Linked DNA regions of Diceros bicornis minor. The protein of the gene in region 1 purifies or fractionates together with the protein of each later gene. This does not show direct contact. Links are inferred from orthologs where the notes say so. Each region holds a gene or a part of one and is shown in the gene's direction. Other genes may lie near its edges.

The links. The genes of interacting proteins can lie anywhere in the genome.
Region 2: the proteins of RHOU (region 1) and PAK1 purify together in Homo sapiens (co-immunoprecipitation; 5 studies listed by BioGRID and IntAct, with this or other methods). This does not show direct contact. The link is inferred for Diceros bicornis minor from reciprocal best matches to the Homo sapiens genes RHOU and PAK1.

Annotation. Positions count from the first base shown.
Region 1 is NC_080745.1:25,743,617-25,751,008, forward strand, and holds the start of RHOU (rho-related GTP-binding protein RhoU), read left to right. Parts: upstream 1-4,308; 5' UTR 4,309-4,586; coding exon 4,587-4,848; intron 4,849-6,558; coding exon 6,559-6,617; intron 6,618-7,392. UniProt on the Homo sapiens protein: Binds to and activates protein kinase PAK1. Plays a role in the regulation of cell morphology, cytoskeletal organization and focal adhesion assembly during cell migration. Also stimulates quiescent cells to reenter the cell cycle.
Region 2 is NC_080746.1:53,894,384-53,902,137, forward strand, and holds the start of PAK1 (serine/threonine-protein kinase PAK 1), read left to right. Parts: upstream 1-4,488; 5' UTR 4,489-4,885; intron 4,886-7,754. UniProt on the Homo sapiens protein: Protein kinase involved in intracellular signaling pathways downstream of integrins and receptor-type kinases that plays an important role in cytoskeleton dynamics, in cell adhesion, migration, proliferation, apoptosis, mitosis, and in vesicle-mediated transport processes.

The DNA of each region.
Region 1 (7,392 bases):
GGACTGGCCCCATGGCCTAGTGGTTGAGTTTGGTGTGCTCCACTTTGGTGGCCTGGGCTCGTGGGTTCAGATCCTGGGTATGGACCTACACCACTCATCAGCCATGCTGTGGTGGCTACCCACATACAAAATAGAGGAAAGATTGGCACAGATGTTATCTCAGGGCAAATCTTCCTCAAGCAAAAAAAAAAAAGAGGAAGATTGGCAACAGATGTTAGCTCAAAGTGAGTCTTCCTCAGCAAAAAAAAAAAAAAAAAAGGGCGGTAGATCTGAATAGACATTTTTCCAAAGAAGACATACAGATGGCCAAGAGGTACACGAAAAGGTGCTCAACATCACTAATCATCAGGGCAACGCAAATCAACACCACAACGAGCTATCACCTCACACCTGTTAGAATGGCTATTCTCAAAAGACAAGAAATAACATGTGTTGGCGAGGATGTGGAGAAAAGGGAACACTTGTGCACTGTTGGTGAGAATGTAAATTGGTACAGCCACGGTGGAAAACAGTATGGAGGTTCCTCAAAAAATTAAAAATAGAACTACCATATGATCCAGCAATTCCACTTCTGGGTATTTATCTGAAGAAAACGAAAACACTAATTTGAAAAGATATATACACCTCCATGTTCTCTGCAGCATTATTTACAATAGCCAAAATATGGAAACAACCTAAATGTCCATTGATGGATGGCTGGATAAAGAAATTGTGGCATATATATGCAATGGAATCTTATTCAGCCATAAAATAGAAGGAAATCTTGCCATTTGCAACAACATGGATGGACCTCGGGGGCGTTACACTAAGTGAAATAAGTCAGACAGAGAAAGACAAATACTCTATGATCTCTCTTATATGTGGAGTCTAAAACAACAACAACAAAACAAGCTCATAGATAGAGAGAACAGATTGGTTGTTGCAAGAGATAAGGTGTAGGGGGGTGGAAGAAATGGGTGAACTGTTTTTTTTTTTTTTTTTAGTTTAAATAAATTAAACAGATTTTTTTTTTTGAGGAAGATTAGCCCTGAGCTAACATCTGTTGCCAATCTTCCTCTTTTTCGCTGAGGAAGATTGGCCCTGGGCTAACGTCCATGCCCATCTTCTTCTACTTTATACGGGCTGCCACCACAGGGTGGCTTGATAAGCAATGTGTAGGTCCATGCCTGAGATCTGAACCTGGGAACCCCAGGCCACTGAAGTGGAGCGTGATAACTGCTATGCCACCGGGCTGACCCCCAATTTTTTTTTTTTTTTGATAAAAGAGAGTAAAGCAAGAGTCGGAGGCTATAGGATACAAAAACTAACATCTTGCCAGTTGTCAGGGTAGAGCCACATTTGGTAGGGCCTGAAGCTTATCAAATTTGGGGACCTTCTTTAAAAGAAAGTATAAAAATTTAAGAATAGAAAATTAGGTACAAAATAAATATTGATTTAAAATGAGAAATGTGTCACAACAAGCTGTAAAATTTAAAAGGCTGACAAACACCATAAACTTCACAAAAATCCACAAGAAAACTTTTTAATAAACTGGCTGACATACCTTGACAATATTATTTTTTTTTACATTTTTTTGGCTGTATACCCTTACCCCCTCAACTTTACTGAGGTATAGTTGACAATTAAAAGTTGTATATATTTAAGGAGTACAATTTGATAATTTGATATATGAATACATTGTGAAATATTCACTCTAATCAAGGTAATTAACGTATCCATCACCTCACTTAGTTACTTTTGTGTGTGTGTGTGTGTGTGTGTGTGTGTGTGTGTGCTGAGAACACGTAAGACCTACCCTGTTAGTAAATTTCAAGTATATAATATGGTATTGTTAACTACAATCACACTGTTGCACATTAGATCTCCAGAACTTTTTTTTGCATAACTGAAATTTTGTGCCCCTTGAACAACATCTCCCCATATCTTCCTAGCCGCGTATCTTTCAATCATTCCTTCCCTTTTGTAATTTTGTGATATGTTTTCTATGAGAAGAATGGAAATGTACTTAACATGCAGGTACACTTACTGTTTGAGATACTACTATAGGTTTGTGTCTTCACAAATGTAGGAATTCACATCAATTCTCTGTCATGCGATTTCCTCCAAAAGTGTATGGTGCATTTATAACTGCATATGCTGCATTTAGAGTATATTCCTGACAGGAGACAACTTCCGTTTTGACCAGGTGTAGTCAAGAGAGCCAAACCCTCTCTAACAATACTGTGTGTTTTATGATGGGAAGAATTACTGCAGACTAGCTTCTGGCTCCATCCATCTCAAAATCTGTTCCTCCTTTGCTACTGGAACCCTTCCAGTGCTGGGGACCATAGGACAGTTCAGTGGACACCAACGTGACTCCACAGAGGGTAGCAAGCGTGCCACTGGTAGCCATTCCTACACAGCAATAACATAACTACACACAGGAGCTGTAAATGACATAAACATATCCCATCAAGGGCAGGGTTAGGGAGAGGCAACCCAGGTGCCTGAGGCTCAACACTTAAAGGCTGGCTCATTCTCAGGGTCAGCCAAGTACAAGGTTGGCCCCCTTAAATTTTGCTCCCGGGGCCGGGCCAGAGGCGCAGTGGTTAAGTTCGCGTGCTCTGCTTTGGTGGCCCAGGGTTCGCAGGTTTGGATCCCCAGCGTAGACATGTGCACCGCTTATCAAGCCATGCTGTGGGAGTGTCCCACATATAAAGTAGAGGAAGATGGGCACAGATGTTAGCCCAGGGCCAATCTTCCTCAACAACAAAAAAAACCTTTTTGCTCCCTTGGCAACTCTTTTATCTCACCTTAGTCCTGGCTCTGTATCCATTAAACCCAAACAAAATGTCTCCCCAACTTCACCTTCCTTGGCTTGATCCCTAAAATGTCCACTGCCACTTCAAAGCCACTCAATACGAGGAGAAGTTAGAGTTGAATGAGACAGCGGACTTAACTGTTGGTGGTTAAAATATATTATTTTGTAAGATTTACAAAAACATATAACCACGTGTTCATATTGCTAGGGTCCCCAGGGCCTTGGAGGGGTTCTCTGCAAGCAAAGTGCCCTGGATTCAACATCTAGCCTCTTCATAAATCCACCTCTGCTTTCCCACCATGGCCATGCTTCCAAGTCTGAGTTTATGACACGGCTTGTTCATGCTTTCGGGACCCTGGTAAAGGGCTTCCGCTCTGGAGCTAGACGATTTGCCTTTGGATCCTGTCACTGCCACTTACTAGCTTGTGGAACCTGAGCACTTTAATATCACTGTCTTTAGATTTTCTCATCTGTAAAATGGGGATAAGTGATGTTAAGATCAGAGGAATTAGTTCAGGCAGAGTGCTTACAACAGTGTCTGGCACATGATAAAGGCTGAATATTTATTAGCTGTGGTTATTTTTATTATTCTTGGCTGTAGTACCAGTATTTGCGTTGATTATGTGTGCCTCTCCTCGCACTGCACTGTAAACCCGGAGGAGCCTTTGTGTCCTGACTGGGCCCAGGGACGCTTCCCTGCTTTCCGAGTGGACTGTTGACTAAATGTTGGAGGAAGGCAGAGAGGAAGGAGTCAGAGATAAATGGAATTTTTTTTCAGGTAATTTTAATGTCACCAAATTACATTTAAGTAAATGAAGGAATTGGGGCTATAAAGAAATTTGCTGCTTCATAGCATGCCAAAGAGAAAGTCAAACGAGCATTAACCATGGACCTGGCACCCTTCTACTCTCAAATGATATGAGAAGAAATTATTTTAGAAGAAGAAAAATCACACGATGGACTGAAGCTACAATTTAAAAAAAATAAAATTGCCTGTTAATTCATCTCTTTCAGACGTCATGTCCCCAAGACACTTTATTTCCCCTCTTGGGTGGAGCGCCGTGGCCAGAGAGGGACCCCACAGCTCAGGTTCCGACCGAGAAGGGAAAGTGAGGGCGTGGGGGCGAGTGGGGCGCGCGGCGAGAGGAACAGCGGGAAGCTCAGGCTTCCCCGCCCGCGTGAGCGCAATCAGGGGGCGCCGCCCGGGCCAGTCCGGCGATGGTGTCAGTTTCTGGCGCTGGGGAGGAAGCTGCCCTCGGCCAGACCGGCTCCTTCAGGCGCCGCCCCCGGAGTGGGTGTTCAGGGGCCCCCGGAGCTGGTGTTCGGGGGTCCCTCGAGCCGCCGTCCGAGGTCCCCGCCTGCCCGGCGTGGCACCGGCTCTGGCGCGGGTGCAGGGGCCCAGCGCGCAGGCTGGGGGCGCTGTCGCCTCGGCTCGGGGACGGAGCTCCCGGGCCGGACCCGCCTCTTTCCCCTCCCCGCCCGCCCCCCACGCGTCGTGTCGCCGGGAAGCCGGGAGGAGACAGAACGCTCGGGCTCCACGGCGCTCGGCCTGCAGTCCTCCGACCGCGCGGAACAGAGCCGGGTGGCGCCTCCGGAGCACAGAGCCGCGACCCTCCGCGGCCGCCTTTGTCTGGCAGCCGTGCGTCCTGGAAGCGCCGCTCTCGGGGCCCAGGGACGGTCCCGGAGTGGTCGGTGACAGCTCCTCCCTCCCGGAGAAGTCCAGGACGGAGGGACGGTCGGGCCGGGTCCCGCTGGCGCGCGTCTGCACGTTCGAGCGCGCGGACCCATGCCCCCGCAGCAGGGGGACCCCGCATTCCCGGGCCGCTGCGAGGCGCCGCCCGTGCCGCCGCGCCGAGAGCGCGGGGGGCGCGGGGGGCGCGGACCCGGGGCGCCAGGTGGCCGGGGGCGCGCGGGCGGTGGCGAGGGGCGCGGCATCAAGTGCGTGCTGGTCGGTGACGGCGCCGTGGGCAAGACGAGCCTCGTGGTGAGCTACACCACCAACGGCTACCCCACCGAGTACATCCCCACCGCCTTCGACAACTTCTCGGGTGAGCGGGGCACGGGGGCGGGGGCCGGCGGGGGACGCGATGCTGACGGACACGGTGCCGAGAGAGGGAGCGCGGCGCGAGGGTCTCGGGGCGCCAAGGGGGCTGCAGGGCCCCGGGCCCGGCTCTGGCCGGGAAGCGGACCCAGTGCAGAGTGCGGGACATTTCTCGAGCCTCGGGGACGGGGCGAGCGCGAAGCAAACTGAGGGACCGCGGAGGAGTGGGGAGCCCCAAAACCAGAGCTTGAGGAGAGGGCGGGGTCCGGGAGTCAGAGGCTATGAAAAAAAAGTCATCTCGCAATTTAGTCACAGACGAGCCAGAATCAAACAGGTAGAGTCCAGGTGGCCCGGTCAGTTTGCCGCGTACAGAAGTTGCGTCAGGTCGACATTGCTGGCGCCGCTGCCACTTTCAATCGGAAGGTGCCATTACCTGTGGCCCCGAGTGTCAATCCTTTCCTTTCGGCGACTGCCTTCTCAAGGGGCTTCTCCACTTTAAAGAGCCGCGGAGACGGTAAAATAGTTGATTTAGTGAAAATAGCGTTAATGGCACCGGTGAAGGCTTAGGTTTGGATTCAACCGGAAGAGTAAACACGATCGATTTCTTTCTTCTGAATCCCCTCCCCTGCCTCCACTGCCGCACTGCCACCTCCCGCACTGGCCCAGTTTGCGATTCTTAGTATCTTTTCAGTGTCTCTTTGAACTACGTAAAGCTCTTATGTATGGGGTGCTATGTTTTTTGGTTTAGTAAATACAAAGATAAAGAAATTCTTTATCATGATTTTTCATGTCTTTTTGAAATTTAAGAAAAAATTAAAATCCACAGAAGCTAGTGTGAAACACTTACTCTCTCTTGCTCTTAAAAAAAAAAAAAAATTGCGTCTTGACTTCTTAAAAAGTCGTGATGGCAAGGGCTTGCTTTCTTCCCCCTCAAAGGTACCCTAGATAAAACAGTGCTGTGCGAGTGGGTTTCCCACCTAAAGGGTATTCTTTCTTTCCCTTTTTTCTCCCAACTGATGAGTATAAACATTTATAAACAATTTAGAAAGTTGTATTGAGATGAAACTGAAGGCTTAATCCAAGTAGAAACCTCCAGGCCGAGCCCTGATGCAGGCCCCTGCCCACATGCCCCATACAAGTGGAAAGGTGGGCTCGAGTCCTTTCCTTTCTTTTTCTTTTCAGTCCTCTTTGAGCTGACACGGAGAGAGAAGCAGTGCCCACTTTTATAAACAGGACGATGCCAGCAGCCTATGTTTGCACATGTTCCCAAAACAAGCTACAATTTTATGATACACCCTGAAGTCTCAGAATGTTTCCCAAGGGAAAACAATTATTTGTGAGGTTTTCCACTGATTTAAAACTGTAAAGTTGGTTTCCACTTACCCCCCAGTGTTCTTTTTAGGTGTTTTGAAACTAGTGTGACAGGAAAATAAATCTCCTGGGCTGGGAGAAAGGCGCAGTCTCTTCTGGGGTGCCATCAAAGGGCTCAGGGGTTTGCCGCCTCATCTGTGGCAAAGGATGAATTGCCAGCCCTGGGGGTTTTGTGTACAGAAATGCCTCCATGACTCCTTGTTTTGGGCAAGTCTTTAATTCCTAGGGGACCCAGAAGAGGCGCTGAAGGCTTTGGAGAAAGAATGGTAGTGCGAGCTAAAACTGTCATTCTTCTGAAAGGGCTTAAAAGCCACCCACTGATGGTCATGTTGGTCTTGTTTTTAAGCTGTGGTGTCCGTGGATGGGCGGCCTGTGAGACTCCAGCTCTGTGACACGGCAGGACAGGTCAGTATCTTGTTGCTGCTCAGTGCTGGGAAAGGAAATGCCCTTTTAAAGGTCTCCAAATAACCTCCCTCAATAACTGGGTTGTTCTAAAGCCTCACGAAGGAGCCACACCCCTGCTGTTGGCCCCTCTCGGAGGGGTCTGGGGGGTGGGGAGATAGCTCTGCAGTAATAAAACAGGGTTTGGCCCAGCTTTATGTGGGCAGGACAGGGGAAAATAGTCAAGAACGCTTCTTATCTTACAGGAGTTTCTGACTGTATTTACTTTCTGGTTTATATTAAAAATTATCAATGATGCTTTGTAATCATTTCTCAAAGTAAGTTGGAGATATCTTATAATCATTTTATTAAAGGTCAACAAGCCAAATATTTAAGAAATTTGCTCAAGAGAAAGATGGAGTTTGTGTCAGTAAGTGTTAATATTTCCCTTCCTAAGCTGTGGGCTCACTCACTAGGGCCACTGCCTCCCTGGAAGCCACGGTCGAGCTGTCCTAGGCTGGAGGAGTGAATGACCTGGGACTTAGTCTTTTCAAATCATGAACATTTGTTCTTGTCTTGAGGACCACGCACTTGGATGATACAGCCAGGCAGTGGGGAGGAGGTCCCCCTTGGGGTGTCCCCCCAAAGAGCTCCGGGGGCTCGTCATCACCCAATCCCCCTGGCACGGTGCTCAAGTCACTGAAGTCTCGCTGTGCTCTCTGAGGCCCCAGGGTGCCGTCACTTGAGTGTGCCAAGGTGACAGTTAATAAACGTGGAGTCTCTCCAGTGCTTGCTAGAG
Region 2 (7,754 bases), on another chromosome or scaffold:
TAAGTTTAAAAAAAAAAGAGGATATCCAAATGAGCAACAAACTTACAAACAGGTTTTCAACCTCATTAGTAATCAAAGGGATGAAAATTAAAATAATAATGCAAGATCACTACATACCTGCCTGAATGATTAAAATAATAAAGATTGATAATACCAAGTATTAGTGGGGATATGGAATAACTGGTGGGAGTGTAAATTGGTTCAATTATTTTGGAAAGCAGGTTTGCAATTATCTACTAAAGTTGGTTTTACAATGTGAATGTATAAATGAAACCTACTTAGTCTGTAGCAGACATCTCTGGTACTTGTTGTCACATTCCCTTAGACCACCTCTGAGTTCAGCCGCAATTGTGGTGAACAGTTCCAACTCCCCTCATGCTGCTAGTGTGTCACCTCAAATGTACACTTCACATCTTTCCTTATTCTGCCTCTGGACCTTCTCTGACATCTGTAGTCACTTGCTAGACTTGCAAACAAAGCCACAACGTCTAGGGGAGTCAACAGCCCTGGGGATAACCCTCACTCAATGAGAGATGGAAGCCAGTAGACAAAAGCTCTCATCTTCCAGGTGGTCTATTCTGGGAGGCATTCTGTATGCTTCTCTGAAGTTCTGACAGAAGTGAGAACCTCAATAACACACGCTACATTGGCTTTCCCTTTCTCTCGTCTCATTCCAGTTTCCTAGGATTGGGAAAATAAACTACCTACACCGAAATAAACTACCTACACCCAAGTATTTATCTCAGGCTCTGATTTTGGGAGACCTAAACTCAGGTAGTTGAGACCAAGAGTTATCCCAGAGTAAAGACCCTCAGGATGGGATTCTGGACTGAATCACTCACTGATCATACGGCAACAAGGACTCTATTGTTGGTGGTAAGTTGAGCAGTGATAGACCCTGACATGCTGTGCTGTCCCAACAACCAAGCTCTTCACTCGCGGTAGACTGGAAGCACAAGTGGAAGGAGAACATCAGATTATGCAGTAACTGTAGCACAGGGATTCTCAACCTTTTTAATTTAATTTAATTTTAAATATTACCCTCCTAAGGAGAGAAATTAAATTAAATTTAAAGTATCCCAGGTGGGGGGTGGTCAAATGGTATGAACTTCCAGTTGTAAGATAAATAAGGTCCTAGGGACGTAATCTACAGCATGGTGACTATAGTAAACAATATTACTTGGTATATTTGAAAGTTGCTAAGAGAGTAAATCTTCAAAGTTCTCATCACAAGAAAAAAAAATTTGTAACTATATGTGGTGATGGATGTTAACAAAATTTATGGTGATAACCATTTCACAATATATACATGTATCAAGTCATTATGTTGTACACCTAAAACTAATACAATGTTATATGTCTATTATATCTCAATAAAAAAGTACATAAAAATAAAGCATCCCTGGCCAGAGAAGTTAAATACTAAGGAATAAGATTTTGTCAAATAGGGTTGAGATTTGGAGGCCACAAACCATTGTAATATCTAAGATATTTTTTCAGTTTTCACTTCCTTTGGGGAGATGTTGCCCCCATTGAGAATGCATGCTCTAGCACTTGAATGGTATGGGGGTAATGTTAATTAATTTCGTAGCATTGGCTTGATTTTGTTAACTATCTTAAAAGCCTTGAAGAAAGAGAATTTCAGGCTCAGGTCATCCACCTGTCAATTCAGGACCAGGTATGAAAGCCAAAAGAGCTCCATGGAAGATTTTTTAAAAACTCTCTTCTCTTGAAGCTGGAAAGCAGACTATGCTGAAAATCAGGCCCAGAATGTAATAGTTAGGGTGGCAGAGATCCTTTGACTGTTCTCTTAACGCTAAAGCCAGGGTTCTTGTAGGTGGGAGTGGGACCCCGAGGCTGGGATGGAGATATTTGGGTGGATGCAACTGAGAAGCTTGCACCTCTAGCAAGTAGCCCTCTCCCACTTGTTAGGATAGTGCAGCCGCCCTTGATCTGAGACTGTTTTAGTTTCCTATTGCTGTTGTAACCAATTATCACAAATGTAGTGCTTAAAACAACACATATTCATTATTTTATAGTTCTGGGGTTCAGAAGTCCAAAATGGGTGTTACTAGGCTAAAAGGTGTTGGCAGGGCCCTGTTCCTTTCTGGAGGCTCCAAGAAAGGATCCGTTTTCTTGCCTTTTCCAGCTTTTGGAGTTGTTTTTATTCCTTAGCTGGTAGCTCTCTTCCTCTGTCTTCCAAGGGTGAGCGGAGTGCTTCTCACATTGAATCACATCTCACATCTGACCTCTTCTGTAGTCTAATCGACTTTTTCCTCACTCTTCTGCCTCCCTTTTCCACTTTTAAGGAACCTTGTGACTACATTAAATCCATCTGGATAATCCAGAATAACCCCCTCATCTCAAGATCCTTAATTTAATTACACCTGCAAAATTCCTTTTGTCATGGAAGGTAACATACTCATAGGTTCTGGGGATTAGGATGTGAACATTTTTAGGCAGCCATTATTCTGCCTACACAGAGACCATGCAAAAACAGTTTCGTTTAGAATAATTCACTGTCGGTGTAAGTTATTTAATCCCCCTTTGTCTCCATTTCCTCATCAATAAAATGGGGGAATAACAGTAGTTTATCTCAAAGGGTTGTTAGAGGTTTAAAGGAGATAGTGCTTAGAATAGTATCTGGCACATAGTAAGCACTATGTGAACATCTATTAAATACATTTTTATAACATTGATTCTTACTATGTGTCAGACACTGGGGATCCAGATAGCATGGACAGGAATATGACTTGCTTTCGAGGGGCTCAGGGAGTCAGATACACAAGTACAGTTACCACACAGTGTGCTACACGCCATAAAAGGCAGGGAAGTACTACGGATTACAGCATTGTGAAGGCTCAGAGAAACTAAGAAATATTAGTCAAATGAATAAATGAACATGACATTTGAGCTGGACTTTGTAGAATGAATGAGTGTTGGCCAATGACATAAAGAGAGAAGAGCCCAGAGAAATGAAGAACTGTGTGTTCAAAGAACATTAAGTAGTATTTCAGTGTGGCTGGAGCAAAAGATAACATGTGTGAGAGGAAGCTGGAAAGGCTGTTGTTAAGCACCAAGGTTGTACAGTGCCAAGTTAAGGAGTTTGGACTTTATCCTAAAAGCAACAAAAGCCTTTCAGAGTGTTTAAACAGTATTTAAAAGTGATCATCATCAGATTTGTGGTTTTAAAAAGCTACCCTGTATGTAAGAATGGATTGGATTTGGAGAGGCTGAAACCTGCTCCAGTTGTCCAGGAGGTAGTGAGTGAAGAGAAGGGCAAGGACTCAAGAAATATTAAGGAGACTCTACAGGATTTGGGGACTAATTTGATAAAGGTGTTGAAAGAGGAAGAATGAGGGCTATGTCCATGTTTCTGGCTTAGGGGACTGCTGGATGGTGGTCCACTCACTGAGACCAGGAAACAGCATGAGTCACAAGTTTGGTGGAAAATGGTAATAGGAATAGCCAACATTCCCAAGGGTTTAATACGTGCTAAATTGTAGTTATTACTATTAGGGAAAAACTGGGGCTTAGAGAGATCAAATTAAGGATACTCAGGTACTACTTATTATGGAGAAATTGTGGCTTGGAAAGGTTAAGGTCCTATCACTAACATTTCTACAGCTGGGATTTGAACCAAGGCAATGATTCCCTTAGCCACTAACGCTGTTTTGGACTTGTGGAATTTGAGGTACAGTCGAGTATGCAAACGACGCTGTCCACGAGGCACTCGGAAATACAGAATCTGAGCTCAGGGGAAAGGTTTGGGTTGAATGTAGCCTCAGTGGTAGGAGAAAAACGGGAAAGGGAACCCATTTATTTCAAGATAGTTCAAACCTCCATTGTCATTTCTTTGTCTCCCTGGCCCTCCCCCCGCAAAGAAAGCAAATAGTATAATAAATGTCTGCCTTTGAGGTCACAGGAGATGAGGTAGTTTTCAAATTCAGCTTTTGGCAATGACCCAGAGGATTCTGTGGTGCTTTGTAACCCGAAGACCACAAAACCAGGGGATTAGCTGTCTTTTTTGACCCTGACTACACCACCAATGCCTCCAGAAATCGTCCCCAAACCTTCCCGGGGACAGGGCACGTCAAAAAAAGCCTGCACCGGCAGACAGTACGGGGTGAGAGGCGAGACGCGGGCGCAATGACGTCACGCGGTAGCCGGGTGATTCCCCACCATCTGGCGTCATGCGCCGATGACGTCATTCAAGGCGCTCCCCATCCCCCTCGCCTGGGTCGGCCTCGCTCACGTGTCTGTCCGGTCCTCCCCGCCCCCTCCCACCTGCGGGAGGCGGGGCTGGCCGGGCTCCGCCGGCGCCGAGGCCTCGCGGGGGAGGGGCGGGGGCCGGGGGAGGGGCGGGGGCCGGGGGAGAGGAGGTCGGCCCGGGCCGGCGGCATACAATAGCGCGGGGCGGGCGGGGGAGGCGACCCGGCCCCGGCTGCATCTGGAGCCCAAGGTGCCGGCAGCACAGGAGACGCCCCTCATTGCGTCCCTCGCGCCTCCCTCACCGCTCTGCCGTCCTACTCCACAGACGCTTCCCCTCGGACTCCTGTCCCCTCTTTCACGCGCTCTCAAAACCCTTCAAAGAACCGTCTCCCCACCTCCTCCCCCAGAGTCCGCCCGCGCCCCCTCAAGGCCCCACCCCCCACCGCACCCCCTCAGCCTCGTCGCCCAGCTCCCTCCGGCCCGCCTCTCGGTCGCTGATCCCCCCTGTCCTGAGGGGACTCCCGGCACGAGCGGGGTGGGGGAGGCGTCGAGCGCGCGGCGGCGGCGGGAGGGAGAAAGTGAAGCGGCTCCCCGTGCGCTCCCTTCCCGGCTCGGCCGCCGCCACCGGCTGGAGGAGGAGGAGGAGCCGAGTAGAGCCGAGTGAGCGCGGAAGGTGAGAGCCGGCCTCCCGCCCGGTACCCCCGGCGGCCGGGCTGCCCGGCGGGGCGCGGGCGTGCTCGTGGGCGCGGGCGCGGGGTGAGGGGCCTGGGCCCATTCATTCCGCGCGCCGGGGTCGGGCGGGCGGCCGGGGGCCCCAGGTGAGGCAAGGCGGGGCTGGCCGCTCCTGTCGGACCAACAAAGGCCCCCTGCACCCCCGGCGCGGCCGCCGGGCTCAGGCGCTGGGGACCCCGGGGACCCGGGAGGGGGCAGGGGAGGGGCCGGGAGCCCCGACAGGTCCCGGGCGCGGAGCGACTCCCTCGCGAACTTTGCAGTCGTCCGGCGCTAACCCTGGGCCCCCACGGGGCAGCCGAGCACAGGGGCGTCCGACTCATTCTGCCTGGAAAACGCACCCCTGTCCGGGCCTGGGACTCACCTGGAGGGTTCAGCTCCTTGAAAAACACGACTGGATGGTGCTTGGGTTTGCAGCCCCTCCCCCACCCCGGGTACTCGGCAACTTGTGGAGTTAAAAACACAGGGAAAGGAGAATTATAGCTATTTTATGTTCCTTTTTCCATTTCAAAAGACATTATTATAGCCTTTACTGTCTTGAATATTTTAACAGCAAAAAATGCTGGGAGTGTTTTGGAAGAATACTTGAGAAGTTTTGGGTGTTGGGAGCAAAGTGCTTGTTTGTTAAACCCCTTGGATAACTGTCTTAGACTTTCCCCTCCAGAACTGTGAAAGGTGAAGGGAAGAGTTAGTACTACGGTTACCAATAAAAATTCAAATGCATTAGTCTAGCCTTTATTTTAAGAATTGTTCCTGAGAAAATTGTTTTAGTTTTTCCTCTTGTGTTTTTGGACTCTCACAACTTTGTCAGGAGAAAACAGTCAACAGTACACGGTACATAGATGCCTCATTGGTCTCACCTTGTGACTTCACCTACTTCCTGTGTGACCTTGGGCAGGTCACTTCCAGCCTTAAAGCTCCGGGGGTTTGCATTTATGCCCTAGAAACAGGCAGGTAACAAGCGCCTACTCAGCCTTCAAGACTCCACTGAAGAACCCTCTCCACCCCATATGAAGTCTTTGCTGGCATTCACCCCCAAACTACTCAGGCAAAACTGACTTCTCATTGAGGCCCTCAGAGGCCTGGTAGGGTTTCTACTACAGCACTTGTAACATTCTTTGTTCCTATTTGGGAAATCTTAAACCAGGTGCATATGAAATCCACTTCACCTCACCTAGAAACTCCACTGCTCCAAAACGGTTTTGGGAACATAAACCCAGAAACAGTCTCTGAAGCTTGTCTATAACCTTACCTATAGGGGCTCCTAGGTCTGGCTGGTAAATTTGCTTTATTCAGTCATTCATTTACCCAACATTACTGGAGTCTGGAGAGCTACTCTGTTTCAGGTCTCCTGCTAGAACTATGGGGGCTGTTCAGACATTCCTTGTCTTTATAAAGAGCTCAAAGTCTAGTGGGTGAGGTCGGCATGTAAACAATGAAGGCCTGCCCTAATCTCTGGGGGACTCCCGTTGTACAGGGAGTAGGGTGCAATAATTGAGGCTGCTGGACCTGCTTTACAAGTCTTGTCCTGGCCAAAGTGAGTCCTGCAGGGAAGGTGGTGACCTGTCTCTCATTTATAAGACAAAAAGCTTGTTCAGTTCAATTCAATATCGTTTACTAAGCACATTATGAAGCCCCGTGTTAGGCTTGGAGGAAGCAGTGCTTTCTGAAAGGCGGGCACTATGTCTCCAGAGAGATCTTTATAAAACAAAACCAATCACGTTTTTTCTTCCCACCCTTGACTAGTCATTACCTAAAGATAAGTTTTCAAACTCTTGAACATGAATAAGAAGCTCTCAGAGATCAGACTACGGCCTCCCTTTGCCCCTTTACTTTCTGTTAACTCCCCTGCCATCCTCTTTCTCATTTCTACTTTGGCACGTGCTGTTCTTTCTGTTCAGAATGCCGGCCTCCTACCCCCTACCTGTCGGTGGATAAGTGCTTGTTGGACTTCTGGGCAGCAGCACCTTAATCTCTTCTCCTATTACTTCCTTAGAATGAGTCGCTCTTCCATCCTCTGGTTCATGTATATACCACTCTTACAGCTCTCCAGCCCTCTATTGCAATTATTTGAGTTTATGCCTGTCTTTTCATTAACCTGTGAATTTCTTGAGGGCAGGATCTGTTTAGTTTTAGTGCCTAGCAAAGTTCCTAGCACTGAGTAAGTGTTTGAAATGAATGAATGAATGTATGAATGAAGAAGCAAGTCAAGACCCATGAGACAGAGGTTACCTGATCCTTTGGGTTAGAACAATAGCTCCAAGTGTTGTGCCTGCACCAGCAACATCAACATAATCTGGGAATTTGTTAGAATTGCAAATGATTTGTCCCATCCCAGACCTACAACTGAAAAACTCTGGGGTTGGTGCCCCAAAACCTCTGCTTTAACAAGCCCTCCAGGTGATTCTGATATCTGCTAAAGTTTGAGAACCACTATGTTAAAAGATCTGCTCTTGATAAGACCAGCTTCTTGCCAGGTCCCTCCCTCCCTTCTTTTTTCTCATAGCACTTACTGCTTGACATTCCATTCCATTCCATTCTATTCTATTCCATTGCATTCGTTTGTCATCTGTCTTTTGCCGCTAGAATGAAAGCTTCCTGAGAGCAGAGAATTTTGTCTGGTGTGTTCACAACTGTAATCCCAGTGCCTAGAATAGTGACTGCATATAGCAGGCGCTCAGGTATTCGTTGAATGAATAATATGATCTAGTATCGTTTATTGCCAGCTGCTACATTGGGGTTTTATTCAAGAATAGTTCTCAGAATGAAGAGGAACCATACTTCAATATACAAATCTCAGTGGATTGTAACGT